2 linked regions of the Sus scrofa genome follow. The protein of the gene in region 2 purifies or fractionates together with the protein of the main gene of each other region. This does not show direct contact. Links are inferred from orthologs where the notes say so. Each region holds a gene or a part of one and is shown on either strand. Other genes may lie near its edges.

What was found. Proteins that work in one complex are often made in the same cells at the same time.
Region 1: the proteins of MEPCE (region 2) and SRSF3 purify together in Homo sapiens (affinity purification with mass spectrometry; 3 studies listed by BioGRID and IntAct, with this or other methods). This does not show direct contact. The link is inferred for Sus scrofa from reciprocal best matches to the Homo sapiens genes MEPCE and SRSF3.

The regions. Positions count from the first base shown.
Region 1 is NC_010449.5:32,289,165-32,299,415, forward strand, and holds SRSF3 (serine/arginine-rich splicing factor 3), read left to right. Parts: upstream 1-299; 5' UTR 300-436; intron 437-2,139; 5' UTR 2,140-2,141; coding exon 2,142-2,347; intron 2,348-3,841; coding exon 3,842-3,976; intron 3,977-4,798; exon of another isoform or gene 4,799-5,256; intron 5,257-6,129; coding exon 6,130-6,168; intron 6,169-6,406; coding exon 6,407-6,493; intron 6,494-6,610; coding exon 6,611-6,638; 3' UTR 6,639-9,488; downstream 9,489-10,251. UniProt on the Homo sapiens protein: Splicing factor, which binds the consensus motif 5'-C[ACU][AU]C[ACU][AC]C-3' within pre-mRNA and promotes specific exons inclusion during alternative splicing.
Region 2 is NC_010445.4:8,355,331-8,364,934, reverse strand, and holds MEPCE (7SK snRNA methylphosphate capping enzyme), read right to left. Parts: upstream 8,334-9,604; 5' UTR 7,277-8,333; coding exon 5,603-7,276; intron 4,358-5,602; coding exon 4,139-4,357; intron 3,966-4,138; coding exon 3,839-3,965; intron 3,724-3,838; coding exon 3,671-3,723; 3' UTR 3,137-3,670; downstream 1-3,136. Other genes in the region: PPP1R35 (protein phosphatase 1 regulatory subunit 35), read left to right, coding at 787-1,029, 1,107-1,359, 1,444-1,580, 1,685-1,858. UniProt on the Homo sapiens protein: S-adenosyl-L-methionine-dependent methyltransferase that adds a methylphosphate cap at the 5'-end of 7SK snRNA (7SK RNA), leading to stabilize it.

The DNA of each region.
Region 1 (10,251 bases), on a different chromosome or scaffold from region 2:
TATCAGTGTTTGGGTGTGACCGGCGATGATGTTATTAAATCCCTATTAATAGGCTATTTGGAGATGAGGGAGAGGTGACTGAGGAGAACTCGGCAACAGGAGAATTACACCGAGGGAGCTCTGGCCCTGAGGCACGACGGCTGCGCGCGTCTCCACCGACGAGGCAGCACAACCAGAGAAGGCTCTCAGCAACCGCGGTTCTCGCAGCGTTTGTGGCCATTACGTCACGGTCTTCTTCGCCTCTCATTGGGCGAACCCGTCCAATCATGTGACTCCAGGATGGCTTATAAATACAGGCGAGGAGACGGTGTTGGTCCGCCATTTCGTGGACGCCGGATCGGGGAGAGTATCTGCTGGAGCCAGGCGGGAGGGGAGTGGGAAGAGACAGCCGCGGGTGCGTGGATTTGAGTCTTCGCATTTCTAATCTAAGATCTCGGTAAGAGACCCAGCGACTAAAGGAATGAGGTGGGAAATGGGCCTTAACAGGACCGAGGTGGGGCCAGGCCCAATGGCGGCGCCAGATTGAGACAAAGAGACGCTGCCGCCATTTTGTGACGTTCAACACGGGGCGGTGGAGGGGGCTCCCGGCCCCCCGGAGCAGGCACCCAGGCTTCCAAGTGGAGGTGCTTATAACCCTTCCCTGGGGGGCTGAATCGGGAAGTGAGATTGCTCGAGTTGAGGCAAAGGGGGTATCGGTAATCGGTTGTACTCTAGATCGCGGCCATTCAATTTATGGCGCCTTTTTTTTCTTTTTGCCCACGTTTCCTTAAGTAGCGGCTTAGGATTTTTTTTCTTCAAGTCACTACTCAAGACTGGACCCTTCGATCCATATTTGAGGATTTCTCTACTTTCTTTCATTTTCGTGTTACTTTAACTTCACTTTTTACAGCCTGAATCCAATAACTATTTTTTTTTAAGCTGATCTTTCTTGAGCTGTATTGTTCTTATAGCTGCTTCGCATTAAAACTGGTCAGGGTAAAGTTTTTGGGAAAGATTAATTCACCAACAATGGGTTTGGTCTCGGAACTTCTGGGCACAGGGCGGGGTCACACAAATAGGATGTGTCTGGGCGGGTATTTTTTTTTTTTTTAATTGGATAACGTGTTTATGAAAAGCCCTTAAGCTGAGTTTTTGGACAGGCTGCTTTTCGTATGTAATCTACAAGTTGATTAGATTCGTTGCTGAGGCGGCTTTATTAGTATTGAAGGTTTTTCAAATGTAAACTAAAGTGCCTTAAGTTCTTGCACAACAAATAATCTATTTTTTTCCCCATGAGGTGGAGTTAATGTAACATTCATTTTAAAGTGCACGATTCAGAAGCATTCGATACCTTCACAATGTTGTGTAACTATCACCTCTATCTAGTTTTAAAGCATTTTATTATACCCACTAAGGTGACCTGTACTGTTAAGCAGCCACTACCCTTTTGGCCTGCCCCTTTCTCTCCCGCAGCCCCTGGTAGCTACTAATCTGTCTCTGGATTTACCCGTTTCGGATATTTCACATACATGGGATGGTATTACGTGTATTTTTTTTGTCTGATATCTATAACTTAGCATGCTTTCACGTTTTGTCCATGTTTATGGGTACTCGTTCCTGAATACTCCATTGTATGGGTAATAATTTTGCTTCTCCATTTTGTTGCTGGACATTTGGGTTAACACCTTTCGGCTGTTGAGGGTAGAACAAGATATATATTTTTAAAAAACAAGTTTGTCCTGCTTGAGTAAAGTTTTGGCTTGTGAAGGCACATTACTATCACTTTTTTAGTGGTTTAGCCTTAACTGCTGTCTTGTCTTCACTTGTCATTTTGTTTTGTAGTCTCCAGGTTTTGCTTTTAATCCTACTTTTCAAAGTTGTTCCTCCCCCCCCTTCAGATAACTGAAATAGGTTTAAGTCTCTCAGTTCCCATTTTGTGGCATATGCTCCCCTACTGTTTCCTCCCTCCACTTCTCTGGGAGGTGATTTTTTTTTTTATTTTCTTACACAGCTTGGCTTCCAGGTGGTTATTGGCAACGATTGGGGTGTTTCAAGGGTAGTGCCTTTACCTTTTTTCGGTTTTTGAATTCTTTCCTAAGGATCTGTTTTTTACTGTGTGGGTTATGATATTTTGGATTTTTTTTTTTTTTTTTGTTACAGAAATGCATCGTGATTCCTGTCCATTGGACTGTAAAGTTTATGTAGGTAATCTGGGAAACAATGGTAACAAGACTGAATTGGAACGAGCTTTTGGCTATTATGGACCACTCCGAAGTGTATGGGTTGCTAGAAATCCTCCTGGCTTTGCTTTTGTTGAATTTGAAGATCCCCGAGATGCAGCTGATGCTGTCCGAGAGCTAGATGGGAGGTAATTTGTTAATTTTTGCTAATAATATGTTGTTTGTCCTTTTAATATTTAAAATCTCTAGGATAAGAGGTTTTTAGATGGCTTTGTGGAGATTTACATAAATTTTTTTTTTTCTGGCCAAAAAAGGACAACGGTTTTAGTGACGATACGTAGGGAGAGTTTATTCAGTTTGCCATTGAAGAAAAGAATTTTATTTGCAGTTGGCGGGTGGAGAGCAGCATCCAAAATATGACTGAAATATTTTAATCTAAATCCACTATAAATAGTCATGTTGTAAACTTTGAAATCTAAAATTGTGGAATCAGACATTCCCTTATGGTCACATCCTGATTGATTGTAGCTGGATGATGGTTACATGGGTTTATTGTACCATTATCTTTACATGATAACACTTTTTTTTAGGAAGTGTGGGTGTTATTTCCCTATGCTTTTAGTGTCTTGTTGACTGGCTAAGTAACACCTGAGGTTAGTTGGGTGTTTTGTTTTGTTTTTTGGTTTTTTTTGTTTGTTTTTTCTGTGCTAGTGGCTTGTGGATGTTCCCAGGTTCTGGGATCAAATGTGACAGTGCTGCATTCTATTTTTTTTTTTCTATTACTCAGTGAACTTATTACATTTTTAGTTGTACGATGATCATCACAATCCAATTTTATAGGATTTCCATCCCCCAACCCCCCCAAACTGTCTCCAGTGCTGCATTTTTAACTTGCTGAGCCACCGGGGAACTCAAATAACACCTGAGTCTTAAAGTGAACTAGTGTTGCCCTTTATCCTGGCATTTGCAAACCACTGGATTTCATGAAATCAAGGAAAACTTTGATCCTTAAGATGGAAAACTGAAAGGATCTGAGAGTTGGCTGTAAAGCTATATGAAAGGTCACTTAACTAAGCAAATTGCAGAAACTGGTTGAGAGCCCCACCTCTTCCCAGTGTCTGTCCAAATGTGGCTTATCTAAACTTAATGGTTGTGGACCAATGAAGAGGTGGGAGATAACTTTCTTACTGTTCTCACTTGCAATTTCTTGTCAACTATTGTGTGATGATTGAGTGGAGAGGGTTGTATTAAATAAATGGCCAGAATGCTTCTGTCCTGTTTACTGCTCTTTACTTGGAGGTATGAAGAGAAAGGAGACCAACAAATATAGTAAGGTTGGTAAACAATTGCTGGGACCTCAAAGGAAGTAGTCACACCAGCATGTACAGATGAACTAATTCTTTGAGAATGGATCCAGGGATTTTCACACTTAATATTGTCACTGTGATCATTGAACCCAATGATCACACTGACTAACAAAGCAATAAAATGTAAGGAAGGTGTTTTTTACCAGAAAAAAATATAGAAACTAAACCTTGTTTTGGTGTTAAGAATTCTATGAGCATTCAGATGTTTCTTACACAGAAACTAGCTATAAATGAATGTTGGGGTTTTTTTCCCGCTTTAATGTGTATCTTTTAATCAATCCGGCTGCTTTAAATTTAATGTTTCTTCCCTCTTAGAACGCTGTGTGGCTGCCGAGTAAGAGTGGAACTCTCTAATGGTGAAAAGAGAAGTAGAAATCGTGGCCCACCTCCTTCTTGGGGTCGTCGCCCTCGAGATGATTATCGGAGAAGGAGTCCTCCACCTCGCCGCAGGTACTTAGAGAGAGCGTGTTTAGAGGTATTGGTGTAATGGAGTAGCTGATAGGAACAGGTATTCTCTTAAAGTTTGTTGGTGGGTTTTAAACTTTGAAGAATCAGAGGTTTTTATGAAACATTTGCTGGGCGTAGCTTGGGGTATGTGAGTTGTGCTGAGTGTTGGCTTTTGTCTTAGGTCACTGTTCATGTTGGTAGTCAGTAACTTCTATCTTGGATCTATCTTCTAGTTCATCTTCTAGTTGCATCTTTCCAAGTCTTCCCTTATACTTCAATTTAGGCCTTTTTCCATTTCTTGACTCCATAATGACAAACATTACATTCAATTCTAGCTCTTCACCAAAATGTGTTTTCTACTATTGTAATATTTATCAAACAGGCAGCTGTTTTAATGTTGCAACTGGTAAAGTAGAAGTCATTCTGAAACTAACTTAAGTCACTGACCAATAAAGGGGGCTAAAGTAATCCCAGTCATCTGTTCTTCAAACCCAAATAGGAGAGAATTCAGTTTTTTTATAATTAAAAATGGCATCTTTCTTGGACCAGGCAGTATTGTCTGGATGCTAACTCCACATCTCCTCAAACCTCCAAAATAGTTTCTATAGGACTGAATTTACCTCTTACAGGTGAGTGAAGTCCTTCTAGGAGATAGGAGTTCAAAATCTTGCCCCTTTTGCTGTTTTGAAAAACAAAACAACACACTGTTGCCCATCATAATAAAGAGTATTTGTTAGCTAATAGATGGTTGTACTGATGGCTTGTTTTTCATTTTTTTTTTGTGCTTTTTGGTCCATCTATTAATAAAAATGAACCCCGTTACAGAGTCACCATCATGTCTCTTCTCACCACCCTCTGAATCTGCATTAGCCAGTCAACTAGCCCTTTCAGCGTCATGTGACCAGCGCGCCCCATTCAGCTTGGCTGGTGTCGTTTCACATGACCCAGGCATGGCCAGTCGTCAGGTTGCACCGCCCTTTGGTTCCCGAGCATGCTGTTTTCTCTCAGCCTTCTCTCCAACCTTAACCAAATCGGCAGCAGCCACCTCGACCGCCCACACATTCCTGGCCAATCAGCTCAGCTGTTTATTTACCAAATGTCTTCACAACAACTACAGCAGCAGCCTTCGGCTAACAAAAAAGCAGGAAAAATCCACAACACCCCCTTCGCCAACCAACTAAATCCAACGCAACATCTGGCAAAACCTTTTCAGCAAATTCTTCCTGGCCGTCAGTCCGGCAGCCTCACCTCACCATTTCTAGCTTGTTGAAACCCAAAAACTAGTAAGTTTTTCCTGCTTATACAGTTTACTGCTGGTTAAAATAAGGAGTAAGCGGCTTAAAGTAATTCTTTTTTCTGGATCAAAGGCTGGCTGTGCATAATTGAATGGTAACGTACATATATATTGCTTGAATAAAACTTTTAAGGGTGATAGGGAACTCATAATGTAACTAGACCTTCAAGTGAAACTTATTTGCATGTTTGAGATGCCAAACTAAAATTTTAATAATTCTAACAGATTTAGCTTTCCTTTCTAGCAAAAATTTGTTGAATCCTATCACCTTTAAATGGTTTTACTAACAGTTTTCAAAAATTAAAATTTTGGGGGTGAAGTGGGCCAAGCTAAGGTAATTTTGATAAGCCTAAACACACTCTTAAATGTGACGATCACAAATGGCAGTTCTAATGTAGCACTTAATGGCATCAATATTTACACCTAGCGCGTTTTCACAGAATTACACTATCCACCTGGTACCTAAGTCTTGTCATGGACTTATAGGTTTGCATGGGTTCCAAATACTGATTTATGGTACTGTTTTTGGAACTATTGTGGGACTACATTTTGGTGTGGTGTTTGGGTAGTGAAGTTAGTTTGACATGAAAGTTTTGCATTGGACAGATCTGCTGTGAAGCATTCTTTGTTAAAGTGAATCCATGGTTGGATACCTGCTTTTCACTTGAGCTTTTGGTTCCTTAATCCTTCTGTGCCTTTTTTCTTTTCTTTAAAAAAAAATTTTTTTTATTATTTTTGGACGATGGGTGCCAGTTCTTCGGCACATTCACTGGGCCCAACAGTGAGATTGAAAAGTTGGGAAATGCCTCACGCCATAAATGCTAATTGACAGTTAGTCTAATTTTCCTGTTTCTGCTTTTAGATCTCCAAGACGGAGAAGCTTCTCCCGTAGCCGGAGCAGGTAAATAACTACTTTTTGCGGGCCACGTTCTCAGAAATGGGAGTATTTGTGCTGTTCCTAAGCTGTTTTCCAAATGACTTAGATAATAGTAATAGATGTTGACTTTCATAATGACTGAGGTAGTATCTGTAACCACTGTTAAGTTGTAAGAAAAATTAGTTTTTAGTTTTTCAAAATCTTGGAAATACGGGTGTATGATCCTGAATGGCCCTATTTTTTTTTTCCCCTCTGACTTCAGGTCCCTTTCTAGAGATAGGAGAAGAGAGAGATCACTTTCTCGGGAGAGAAATCACAAGCCGTCCCGTTCTTTCTCTAGGTCTCGTAGGTAAGATCTTTAATGACCTGAGGCATAAAAGACCTTGCATACATAATGTACTAAAAACAAGTACTTCTTTTAAGTCATTTTGATACAATTTTTGTAACTTTTGGTTTTTGTTTTTAGCCGATCCAGGTCAAATGAAAGGAAATAGAAAACCAGTTTGCAAGAGGAGTGGTGTACAGCAAATAACTTCATTTGACAGGAGTATGTACAGAAAATTCAAGTTTTGTTTGAGACTTCATAAGCTTGGTGCATTTTTAAGATGTTTTAGCTGTTCACATTTGTTTGTCTCTTGGCAACAAAAGTAAAGATGTAATTTTTACACATAAAGATGTAATTCTCTATGGTTTGAAATGAATCATATGAGGCATGTAATACCAAGAATTGTTACTTTACAATGTTCCCTTAAGCAAAATTGAATTTGATTTTTTTTTTTTAAGTCTTGCATAGATTGATAATAAACCTCTAACTCCTGCCCAGCTAAACTGTGATGTTCAATATTACTGAAGCAAAACCGGCAAAAATTTGAGAAGACTTTCCATAGCTGGAATATGGTGTGCAGTTGTAGTTGAGCAAGCAGTCTTTAAAAGCTGCTATGAATGCAAACCAGCAGGTAAAAGTTAAAGCTGCATCATTAAACTACTAGATTAGAGGTTTAAAAATCCCACTAGTCTTCATAATGGACAGGATATTGTCCAGTTGTATAGAATCTAAGAAGTTTCAGGAAAATTAGTTTACTTTTGCTTTAGGTCATAAGTTCCTTCTGTGATTGCTATATATGAATACATAGCTCTTTGTAACATTCTTTATTTGAAAATTGGAGACTATTCAAGATACATTCTGATGTTCTACCAGTTTAAGGGTACATTGTAGAGCTGAACTTTGAGTTACTGTGCAAGATTTTTTTTCATGCTGTCATTTGTAATATGTTTTGTGAGAATCCTTGGGATTAAAGTTTTGGTTACAAATTGTTGTTTAACCTGAAAGCCTGTTTTTCCTTGCAAAACTAAAATCTGTGAGCTTGGTACCAAGTCCAGGTATAACATTCCTATTGGAAGCCATACTTATATTTTCTTGTAAAGTGCTTTTGACAATAAAATATTAGCATAATTGTGTAATAGTCGAACCCACTGTTACCATAGTTCTTGTCCCATAGAAGGCAGTTGGTTACACAAATCTTAACTCTGTAAGCACAGTTGAGGCTTTTGAAATGAAAGGAATTGTGTCCACCTAAGTGATAAAACTTAAATTTTTAGGCGTAGAAGCCAGTTCAAAAAGTCCATGATACTCAGTGACCAACATTTTAAAGTATAGCCACCTGATACATTATAATCCAAAGTTGCCCTTTAAAAGGGGCTTTTATCATTAGCATGAAAACTTTAACACAGAGCTTTAAAAATTGCTTCCATTTTATATAATTTGAGGTGTTGCATGGGAATTCTAAATTGGTCCGTCATGATGTAAAATCCACTATATGGTTAAAATGTAACAGTACAGAGTTGCATACGGAGGCATGCATAACTTTCCTCTTAGAAATCTAGAGGAGTTGTAACTTCAAATTTTTGTGCAATTAGATTAAATCATAATACAACAGTCTTGTGGCTTAGTTTCCTTAAATGTGCTATTTAAAGACAGTTTTGGATTATGCTGTACTGACTTTAATGTGAAAGATAAGTCATTAATCTGTAAGGATATTTTATAAGATACAAATCCTAAACACTATTTCCAGTGGTCCTTCTTAACCTTTCATGCAAATAATCAAGGGAGGAGAGTCTTTTGGTGTTGGTGAAGTTCAGTATGAGCCTTGTTATAGAAGATATTGTTAAGGCTGCCTGGTGATTTATTGGAGCTCAGATTTAGGGCCTTTTGTCATTTCATAGCTTAAAAGCTTTTGTTATGAACAAAGCAAGATAGCCAAAAATTCATGGAAGTAATAAGGTATATTAATTACACTGCTCTTAAATTTATATGGGCATTTTTGGCAGCATATAACTTGAAGAGACTTAAATTGGAAGGGTTTCTGTAAAAAATTATGGCAAAATGTGGCTGATACATAAAGTTAACCTCAGGGAGTTACCTTTAGGATCCAAATTTGTAATCACTTTAACCAGAAGCCCTAACACAAATTTATGGCTTGTTAAAAATACGGAAGATAGAAATTGTTAAAACCGCATTCTACATTTAGATTGCGGCTGTTCACTAGTTTCTGAAATTGTAAGTCCCATTTGTCAGTCTGTCTTGCATCATCAGTTGATGATACTGAAAACAGTCATAAAAACTTTGACTTGTGTATGATTACAAATGTTTGCTTACTAATATTTGGTGATAATTCAAGGAACATACCTAGGGATAAGTTGTTTTTTATGCTTACAGAAATATTTAACACTGATTCTCAGTTCATTGTGGATTACTTACCTCCATGTCTTAAGCAGAAAGATAAAAACAAAGATATATTAGCTGGAGAAATTTTTTTTTAATTTTACAAGATTTAGATACCTTTTGTCTACTGTTTCTATACTTTTTATAGTTTCTTAAAAAAGATCATGTGATCAGTAGATGGCATCTCCAGGTTTTTTCACCCATGTATGGATAGATAGGAAGCTCTGGTTGCTTTTTGTTGTAGAGTCATGGTTCATGTTCTTACAGTGCTGCTTTATCAGGAATGGTGTTAATCATAGCAATTTCCAAAATAACACACATCTGATTCCAGACCCACTGACTCATATTTCCATTCCTGGTTACATAAGAACCACTGGTTTAGAATTTTGTCTTAATGTGCTTTTATTTTCAGAATCCTGAACATGATTTAGTTGTCAGATCTAGTTGGTGGTAATGTCTTCCAGGTTGTATATTTTTGTACTAGACTGCTGCCTTCTGGTTTCCTCTTTTTCTTTTAAGAATATGAAAGATTTTTGTAATTAAAGTAGCTGAAGAAAAACTGGGTTGGAGTATATTTTTACCAAAATCTGATAGTGTTGAATTAAATTTTATGTCCACAAAAGCTTTTTTCATCCTGTTTTATTCATTGGATACCTCACAAGAATTTAGTTCTACAGCATACTTGTGAGGTTCTGAGAAAAGACATTGAAAATAAGGTCTTTTGATAAACCTAAATAACTGCTTAATTTTGTTCATGCAACTTTTCCTGTATTGGGACTGTAGAAATTTATAATACAGTATTCTTGTCATTTTGTATCCCAATTTTTAATTATTAATGGAACATACGACAGCTGAGATGTTTCCCAGGTTAACATGAAATAGATTTGGAGAACATTACTTTCCTCATATTTAGTTTTTCCTTGGTTCTAAAGTCTTAGAATCTGGCCACTAAGTGCCTTAAACTATTAGTATGTATATACACTTAAGAAGTGAAAAATCTTAGAAATGTTGACACTTAGCTTCATTTAGGGCTTGTTAAAAACATGGAAGATAGGGGAGTTCCCGTTGTGGCTTAGCAGAAGTTAATCTGACTAGGAACCATGAGGTTGTGGGTTTGATCCCTGGCCTTGTTCGGTGGGTAAGGATCCGGTGTTGCCATGAGCCGTGGTGTAGATCACAGATGCAGCTTGGATCTGGCGTGGCTGTGGCGTGGGCCGGCAGCTGTAGCTCTGATTTAACCCCTAGTCTGGGAATCTCCATGTGCCAAGAATGCGGCCCTAAAAAGCAAAAAAGGAAGATAGGAATTGTTAAATTCCTGTTCATCATTTGAAGAGGTCCTGGGATGGAGAATATTTCGCTTTATTTCCAGAGCAAAATTAAGCTTT
Region 2 (9,604 bases):
GAAGATAAAGAATGTAAAAACTCTCAAACTGAAAAGTGGTATACAGACATGCCTGTTGACTATCTATTTATCGCCCTGGCAGCCACGATGCCCAGAGTCCTAGGAGGGAGACGGGCTGGCGTCAGTGAGCCAGGTCCTCACTCAAACTGGGAAGCTCTGCTGGGGTTCAGAGGTGATGGGACACCTGGAGATGCTCTGGAGGTACTGCACAGGGGTTGCCGAAACTCGGCTTCTGTTTACTGGTGCTAAAAAGAAAAGTGGAGACAGAGTTTTGGGCGAAGTAGAAAAGAATAGCTTTTATTGCTTTGCCAGGCAAAGGAGGCCACAGCAGGCTTATGCCTTAAAGACTGTGCCCTTCTTTGAGAGAGAAAAGGATGAGGTTAGGGAGTGGGAAACAGGGCCTCAGATAAGGATCAGAGTAGATGCAAGCCTGTATTCTTCAGGGCTCGCGTCACAGTCCAGGGACAGGTTCCAGCGGTCTTTCAAACTGAAGTCGTGGTGACTGGATCGGGAGGACAATTGGTCTTGATGAGGACCCGTAAGGCTTCCACAGGCTTGGACTCTTAAGATCCCAGCCCAGAGGCGGGGCGAGGTTCTGCGGGCGGAAGCCGACAGGGAGTCACGTGGGCAGAGCAGGGGAAGTGACGCTTAGGAGCCCCCACAGGGCGGGGCTGGGTGTTTCCCCCCCCGCCTGGGGAAGGGGCCAACGGTTTTCAGGAAGGGCGGGGGAGAGGAGGTGGTGAGGCCGCGCTTCGTGACCCTTGGCCCCCAGCGACCCCCGCCAAGATGATGGGCTGTAGGGAGTCAGAGCTGGAGTCGGTGGGAGGGGGAGAGGCCCTGGCGGCCCCAGGGCCACCTCCAACACCTCGCGCCCCGGAGCCCGGAGCCCCAGTGCCGGAGCCCGGCCTGGATCTGAGCCTGAGCCTGAGCCCGCGGTCCGAGAGCCCTGGGCACCGGCGGCCCGACTGCAGCCCTGGACGGCGGAAGGGGCGGGCGGACCGACGGGGCGGGGCCCGCAAGGGACGGCAGGTGAGCTGGGGGGAGGGCTGGCCGCCAGTCAGCCGCCGGCTCGCGCCCACCTCCTCACCACCTCGCTCTGTTCCCAGGTCCGCTTCCGCCTGGCGCCGCCCTCCCCGGTCAGGTCCGAGCCGCCGCCGGCCGCTGCCGCACCGAACGAGAAACCTGCGGCGTCGCAGGACCTGGGGGCGCCCGCGCAGCAGAGCAGCCTGGCCCTGAGCCTCGAGCTGCAGGCTGCACGGGCCGCAGCCAGGGGCCAGTTCGATGCCGCGAAGGCCGTGGAGGAACAGCTGAGGAAGTCATTCCAGACCCGCTGCGGCCTGGAGGAGAGCGTGGCGGAGGGTGAGGGGGGCAGACAGATGGCTGGCCGGGCGCGGGAGTCGGGGTGAGACGCGCCGCTCACCTCCACTCCTCCTGCGGCCTCAGGGTTGAACGTGCCGCGCTCCAAGCGGCTCTTTCGGGACCTGGTGAGCCTGCAGGTGCCCGAGGAACAAGTTCTGAAGGCCGCGCTGCGGGAGAAACTGGCGCTCCTGCCGCCGCAGGCCCGAGCCCCGCCTCCAAAGGTGAGGGACCTGCCCTGCGTTTGCCTATCCCGGCCCCTCCCCGACTGTCGCGGGTCCTGTCCCCTCCCCGAGTGTAATCTCGATTTGGGTTCCCACTCCAACAGGAGCCACCTGGGCCAGGGCCAGACATGACTATTTTGTGTGATCCAGAAACACTATTTTATGAATCTCCACACCTGACCCTGGAAGGCTTGCCCCCTCTCCGGCTTCAACTCCGGCCTCGCCCTTCAGAGGACACCTTCCTCATGCATCGGACACTGAGGCGCTGGGAAGCGTAGACCTGGAAGCTCCCTGGATTGCTAGTGCACATTTGTTAAAACGATCAGAATAAAGTGGTTTTGCTAACAAGACTCTTCTTGGGACCCTTGAGATGAGGTCAAGTTTCAGGTTGCAAGCTGCCTGAAGTCAAGGTTTTGGTTCTCTTAAACTTTAAAAGAACTTGGTAGTGGTGAGTTGAAAACACTGCCCAAGTAGGGTTTCTATACTCTTCTCACCTCATACCCTGACTTCAGTCAGTTACCACCTTTTTGTGTTCTTGCATGCCGAAGTTCCCAGGCCAGGGATCCAACCCATGCTACAGCAGTACCACCACCAGAGTCTTAACCCACTGAGCCACCAGAGAACTCCACCACCTTTGTTTTTGATGACACCTCATTAGTTCTTTTTGTCTTTTTGCCTTTTCTAGGGCCCCTCCCACAGCATAAGCAGGTTCCCAGGCTAGGGGTCTAATCGGAGTGGTAGCCGCCGGCCTAAACCAGAGCCACAGCAACGTCGGATCTGAGCGGCGTCTGCCACCTACACCACAGCTCACAGCAATGCCAGATCCTTAACCCACTGAGCAAGGCCAGGGACTGAACCCGCAACCTCATGGTTCCTAGTCAGATTCGTTAACCACTGCGCCACAATGGGAGCTCCTCATTTGTTCCTTTGAACCACTTATTTCTGATCACTTTAATATGTGGGTCTCAGCCCACATCACACTTTGGGGAAGGCTTCCCTCAAAACCCAGCTCAAAGAGTCTGCAAGGTAGCTGCTAGCACCCTTGGTGAAATTATCTCCTTGCTTTCACCTTAAAGGACTCACTCATCTTGTTTACATTAACCCAAGAGTGCTTAATATTTGTTGAATGAATGTTCACAGCTCCAGGAACACTGCTGAGCTGCCCAAGAATTTGATGTTAATTAAATCACCCATTAGTCTGGTTTCACAGCACACCAAAAAATGTGGGTAGGAAGGTGCTACAGTCCAAAGAGTGCCTTTTCTAGTTATACTTCGGCTTCCAAAGTTAGCTTTGTGCCCAAAGCTCCCACAAAAAATTTTGCCAGTGGGTTTTTTGGGGAGGGTAGAGGGACATTTCTGTTTCACATCAGAATTCACGTTATACCCGCTTTTCCTGATCTAGGATTCTGTATACTTGTGTGTAGGTCTCAGTAGCATTCAATAATCTTCCCACCACTGAAAAGAACTCGTCCTTTTCCTTAAGACTATAGTTTGGGCAGAGAGGAAGCACCCCCCCCGTCCCCGTCCCTGCCACTAGAATGCCCCATACACAGGTGTGGGGGCCACTGCCCTAAACATCAAGTTTATTGTGCTGTTCTCACAATCCAAACCCAAACCCCTCTCCCAGTGGGGGACAGCAGAGGGAAGGATTTTCACAGTACCTGTATGCCTCCCCGCCACCTTCCCCCTCTTAACCCTTAGTCCATCTATCCGTGGTCCACTGAAACGCAGCTAGGGACAAGGGCTGAGGAGAAATGGGAATCTCTCCTTGGGAGGACAGGAAGAAGAGGCTAGAGAACTTGGTAACTCTACCTCCCATGCCCTAGGAGAACAGAGGTCAGCAAACAGTCCATGCCATCCAGCCCAGTGGGCCGGGGGAGAGGAAGATGGTAACTCCAGCACAGCTGGGCTTAGGTGCCAGAGGTGTAGGGGAGAGGCTGGGGCAGCAACATAAGAAAAGCGTTCTTTGCAGATCCAAGAAAGGAAAGTATTTTTGGAGCCAGAAAGGAAAGACCTTGGGATACTTCCTCTTCCCCCAGGTCCTCAGGAGCAGTGGGCAGCTTCTTCATACTCTCTGTTCAGGAGGCCACTTAGTGGCTGGGGGAAGAGGCCTTGTGGAACAGGTACACAGGACGCTGGAAGCCTGAGGAAGAGTGTGCCATCAGGAGGGGTTGGCAGGACCTTAAGACTCTCCACAGGGTCTACCCTGCACCAGGACAGGCCTCCCTTCCACCCCCAACAAAATAAGCCAGCCTTACCTTTGGAGGTGTTGTGAGGTGTGGCCACAAGCTCATAGCTGGAGAAGCCCACCTCTGGGGATGTCAGGTAGGAACTGAACTGCTCTGGCTTCAGCTGAATTCGATAGTAGTTCTTGTAGATTGTTTCCTAGAGAGAAGGGCAAGGGACCGCTTCAGCTTGGTGCCTTCTCTGTTGATGGAGAGTGATGCCCACCCAGGGGGCCTTTTCACTTCAGAAAGTCCGCTTTCTGCTTCCTTGAGACCTTTCTTGCCTCAACTAAAGGAAGGACAGCTACAATTTCCACAGAAACCCCAACTCACCGTGAGAGTCTTTCTCTTGCCGTAGGTTGACCAAGGTTGGGGCTCCAGGACCAGGATGCCCCCAGGGCGGAGGTGCAGATAGATCCGGCGAAACATGCGCTTCAGCCCCTCGTCTCCCCAGTTGAGATGCACCCACTTGGTGAGGCTGAGGCAGAGCACCACATCATACTCAGGTTTTTGGGCCTCCACCAGCTCATCTCGATCCAGCACATAGTTACCCTGAGGGTGAAGAGTTAGGGGTGAGGTCAAGAGACGCATTCAAGAACCACTGCCGCCCCCACAGTCCACTCTGCAGCCTCACTATAGTCCTGGCCACAACCTCCTCTGACATGCCTCAAAATAACTCCCAAACGGTGCCCTCTGGTTTTTTTGGGCCCACAGCACATGGAAGTTCCAGGGCGAAGGACCAAACCTGAGCCACAGCAGTGACAATGTTGAATCTTTAGCCACCAGGGAACTCTAAATGGTGCCCTCTTTTGAGTCTCATTTTCTTGCTTTCTATTGGTAACAAGCCAATCAAACATAAAAAGGGAGCCTGGATAATTTTAAGTTGAGCAAATTATCCATGAGATCGACAAAGTTGGGGTCAAATTGCAAAGAAAGAATGCTTGGGTTCTCCTAGGACCCTGTCCAGTACTTATTCCCACTCCACAATCACTGAGCTCAGTGACCCAACATTATGCAAAGGGCTCTAACTCAGGTTTGAAAGGGAGACCTGTGGGCTCATTTCCTGTAGTTGGGGCTGACAAAGTTTCAGGCCTATTCTTCCCTTTCTCTCAGGGAAATGAAGAGCTTCATCCCAAGAAAAGTTTTCTAGATGATAAGCTTATTACCACCGTCTGCCAAGTCCATTCTTCCAGTTGTAACCCAACACACTCTATTCCTGTGGAAGGCCTACCTGGAGCATTTTATGGGAAGCCACGTGAAGTCAGGGGACAGACACTGAGGGCACAGTCATCTTTCCTACAGAGGACTTTCTGACTCTCCCCCACCCCATCATCTAGGGTCAGTGTGGAGAGGATTTAAGGCCACGGGACACTCTTCAACCAACTCTGCATCTAACTGTAAACGAGGTCCTTATGGAAGGGCAGAAACTATGAGTATTAGCCACTTCCTCAATCCTCCCCCCATTCCATGCACCTTCAGGAGGTTGGAGGACAGGTTTTCATTTGGACCAGATGAGCAGCAGCCCCCAAGGGAAGGTGGACAGGAGTCTGTGCCTATCCTGGGGCTTGTAGTCATGAGAAAGGACTCCAAGTAGAGCCCCTACCTTCCCCACCTTGCTAGGTTATAGGAGGGGAAAGACACCCAGTGGAATCAGTCGCCGATTCAGACCCTTCTTTTGAGGATGTGGGCTCTTCATGTGCACAGAAGCCCTCTGGGTCGTAACCTTCCCCTGCCATGTTCCTGTTTAATCTCATCTTCATTCCCAGGCCCCTATCCCAAGCCTGCAGATCTTCTTACCGTGACGAAGACAACATTGTTGGGGAAGACGGACGTGTCTGCTCCATCCAAGGGCACTTGGGGTGCAGCGATGGGACCCCGGCTGGCGGTCAGGGAAGCTGGGAAGCAGCTCCTCTTTTGGACGGTTGAGGTCCCTTCCTCACCCTCTGTTCCTGGGTCCCCCTCAGAAGTCTGGGGTGGCTGACGCAGCTCTTCAGACAAGTAGTGTCGGATGTTTTGGCGGGCCGAGTGGATGAGATGGGGATCAATGTCCAGGCCCACCATGCGGGATGGGCCCCACTTACAGGCAATGCTCAGAGTCAGATGGCCCACGTTGCAGCCCAGATCTAGGACGTCACGACCCCGAAACCACTCAGGCTTCATAACCCGAAGGCGCCCATCCTCACAGGAAGGATTGCGGTACCCATAGTACTTGCAATAATTCCCATACTGGAACTTGCACTGCTGCTTTTTGAAGCCTGCTGCAGGTAGTGGGTGGGGGTGTTGGCGGCCTCCCCCACTCCCTCTGCCCTTTTCCTTGGGACCCTGGCCTCCACCCCTAGCCCCTGCCTCTGACTTGCTGGAAGTCCTGCGACGTTTGCGATGTCGTGAGGAGGAAGACGGGGGTGCAGAGGTAACTGAGGCAGCTGAAGGGGCTGAAAGGGAGCCTGAGGGACCCTGTAGGGCAGATGGAAGGGGAGACACGACCTCATCCCTGCAGTTGATGGCTGTGTTGAGTTCATAGGGTTGGGGGACGTCCCGGTTCTGGCCCCTTTGCCGCTGCTGCTGTGTGGTGCCCTCCCCTTGGAGTGAGGGAGTGAGGGGGGCTGTGGGCAGCACGGAGTGGCTATCATTCCCTCCAGTTGCCTGCTGCTGCTGCTGCTGCTGGTGGTGCTGTCCCCGATGTCTATGCCGCTTCCGACCAGTCTTGAGTGGTGAAGCAAGGACTACTTGGGCCTCATCAGTGCAAGTATTGAGACTGAGAGGGTCAGTAATATCTTTGGGGATGAGTATCTCCACTGGATCTCGTCCCTTGGCCGGAAGTGGGGATGACTTAGGGGTCTCCGCATTGAGTGCACGGCTCACTTCCTCATCCAGGAGACTATTCAGGTTCAGCGGATCAAAGATATTGCCCCCCAGGAGGAAGTTGGAAGGTAAGACAGAGTCACAGTCCGAATTAACCCGCCTGCGCCTCTTGAAGGCCGGATGTTTGAAGCCTCCACCACCTCCCCCTACATTACAGCTATTTCTCCTCTTGCCCCCACCTCCCCCAGGGGGCCGGTGGGGCTGATAGCCATTACGTGGTCGAGGAGGAGCAAGGGGGCCCAGTTCTGTTCCGCCCCCTCCCCGGCGCTCCTCCCCCACGTCCGGGGGAGCGGCTAGCCCCTGGGGATCCGACAAGCAGGCCTCTCCGGTCGACTGGGCCTGGGGGCCGCCCCCTCGCTGCTGCTGCGACTGGCCGCCCCGAGGGGTGGAGGTAGCCCCGGGGCTCTCCTTGCCTGCCCCAGAAGCTGGGGACCCCGCCGAGTGTGCGCGCGGGCCCGGCCCACGCTGCGTCCCGCCGCGGAGCTCCCCGGAGGCGACCTCTCGGTGTGGTTGCACCGTGGGGCCGCCCCCTCCGCCCGACTCATCTTTGAGCGGCGGTGGCGGGGCCGGCACCAGAAACGGCTCCTTCTCCGCCGCCATCTCGATCATTTCCTCCCCTTATTCCGTCCCAGTCGAGGGCAACCAGGGGGACCAGGGGGCTTAACCCCCCCTTCCTAAGACCGCGCTCCCTTCCCCCCTTTCCTGAGTGCGCGCGCAGTTCCGCTTCTCGCCTAGTCTCGTCCCCAAGCGCCTCCCCCGAAGCGCGCCCCACTCGCCCGCGAGACCAAAACAAGATGCCCGCGAGACCCGAACTCGAGGAACCAACCGCGCGTGCGCCGACTCCTTTCTCCTCTACCACTACCGCTTCGCCGCGAGCGCGCACTGCTGGAGCGCGTTCCTCTGGCCCCGGAATCACGCATGCGCACTCAGCCACCACCCTGGTTGCGCGCGCATCAGAGTACGAACCAACTTAACGGCTCCGGGAGTTTAAATATAGCCCCCCTAAGCCCCCCCAACCAAAGCCCACCACCCCAAACTGACGCCCTACTTCCCTTCGCAGCTACGTCCGTCCCTAGTGATATCCTTTGTCTCTGCCGCGCGATCCCACCCACCGTAGGCGGGGGACGGGGAGCTGGTGTGAAAAGGTCTCCTTGACACCCGACCCTTGTTCCTGAGGAATGAGTCTCTGCCGTCTCCGCCCGGCTCTAAACCCAGCAACCTCCCTACCCCGCCTCCTTCCTCCCCCTAGCGGGCAGCGCCTGCGCACACCCTTTTGGGCTTGCGCGGGTAGATGCAGCACGTGCTGGAGATGACGCCCCTCCCTCCGTCCTAGAGGCGGGGACTGCTACGTCGCTTCCTCAGGTTTGGTACGCGCAACATGCGTCAGCACGATTCGGAGGGGCGTGGCTAAAGAACGGGGAGGCCCTCGTGAATTATTCATAAAGTGGTGGCCCTCTTGGCCCACCTATTTCTAAAGAGGGGCGAACCTAGAAGTAGGAGAAGGAAAGGAGCGGAGTGTACCCACTGTCTTCCTAACTACTGTTCTCAGTATAATACAATAGGTCATTTTAACTCACCCCCCTGGAAAATATTCTCTGATGAACTGGGGGAAAAAAAGTACTAAGGCGATGTTGTCCAACTTCCTCTTTCCCCGAAACGGCCAGGTCGTTCTCTCGCTCCTCCGCCTTCCCTCAATCGCGATCACCTGGGGACACCACGCCCTCCTCTCCGCCTCCACACCCACCACCCGACGCCTGCTCGCGAGCCCCTCCCCCCGTTAGGGAACGGCGACCCAGACGCCCACCACAGCCACCAATAACAGTATATCTACCACCACCGCCCCCTTTGCACGCAGGCTTTTCCGAGCACCCGCGGCGCGTTTGCGCCGCCTTATATAAAAACGAACGTGGGCAGGGAAGAGATTTCGGTCGGCTTTGGGGGCCCCGGCCTCAGCCAATGGGGAACAAGCTACTCGATGCCCTTTTCAGAGGGGGCCCGTTCTCCGGGCCCACAGCGATTGGGGTTTGGGTCCTGTGGCTGCGAAGAGGGCGAAAGAGGCGGGAGTGGTGTTAAGGGTAGTCTCAAAATATCAAAATAAGGGTTTGAAGGAGACTCAAAGGGAGAATGGGAATCAGGAAGGAAGTCTAGGGCAGAGAAAAAAGTTAGGAAAAGGAAGATGGGCTTCATGAACGATCAGGCACTGCTGCTGCCACCTAAAAAAAAAAAAAAGTGAGGCCAACCAGGATTATGGGACTTGTAGTTTTACAGGGCGTTTGTTTGGAAGATGGCGCTATAACTCAGCTGCGCAAGCGCCGAACTAGCTTCCAGCTGCGCATGCGCAGCAGTCCTGCGAGCACGCCGCTTGTAGGAGGGGTGGGGTGGAGCTTGTGTGTGGCCTCGCGCCTTACCTTGCTTGGTGGCGGGAAAACTGGCTCGAGTTTTGGAGGGGTTTGCAGAGTTGCTGCGGTAGCTCATTCTGCTCCTGGCCTTTAGGTCCTCCTCGCTCCAGAAGATTGCTGGTGCTTTTCCGGTTGCAGGTGAAGGTGCTAGGCGCGGCCAATCCTAGTACCTGTTGCCTGAGGAGAGGTTTTCTCTTTAGGGCGAGGACCAACTCTTAGCCTGAGGAGAAGTTTTCTCTTTAGGACGAGGACCAACTCTTAGCTCTCTCCTCAGAATCTCCAACAGCAAACTCGCACCCAACAAACAAACAAAAGTAACCCAGTAGTATCGGGGCGGGCGACGACGGGCCGGAGAGAATGAGGATCCTGGTGCCTCCGCGGGCTGGGGGAGGGGAGAGGGAGCTGAGGGGAAATTCACGAGGAGTTTCTTGATGGGGAAGAGACAGTCACTGTTTTACCTATTGAGGGGAGTGAAGAACTTTTGCCTGTGGTACCTTTGGTGTTAATTGCCGTCCTTAAGAGGGAATTGGTGAGGGAA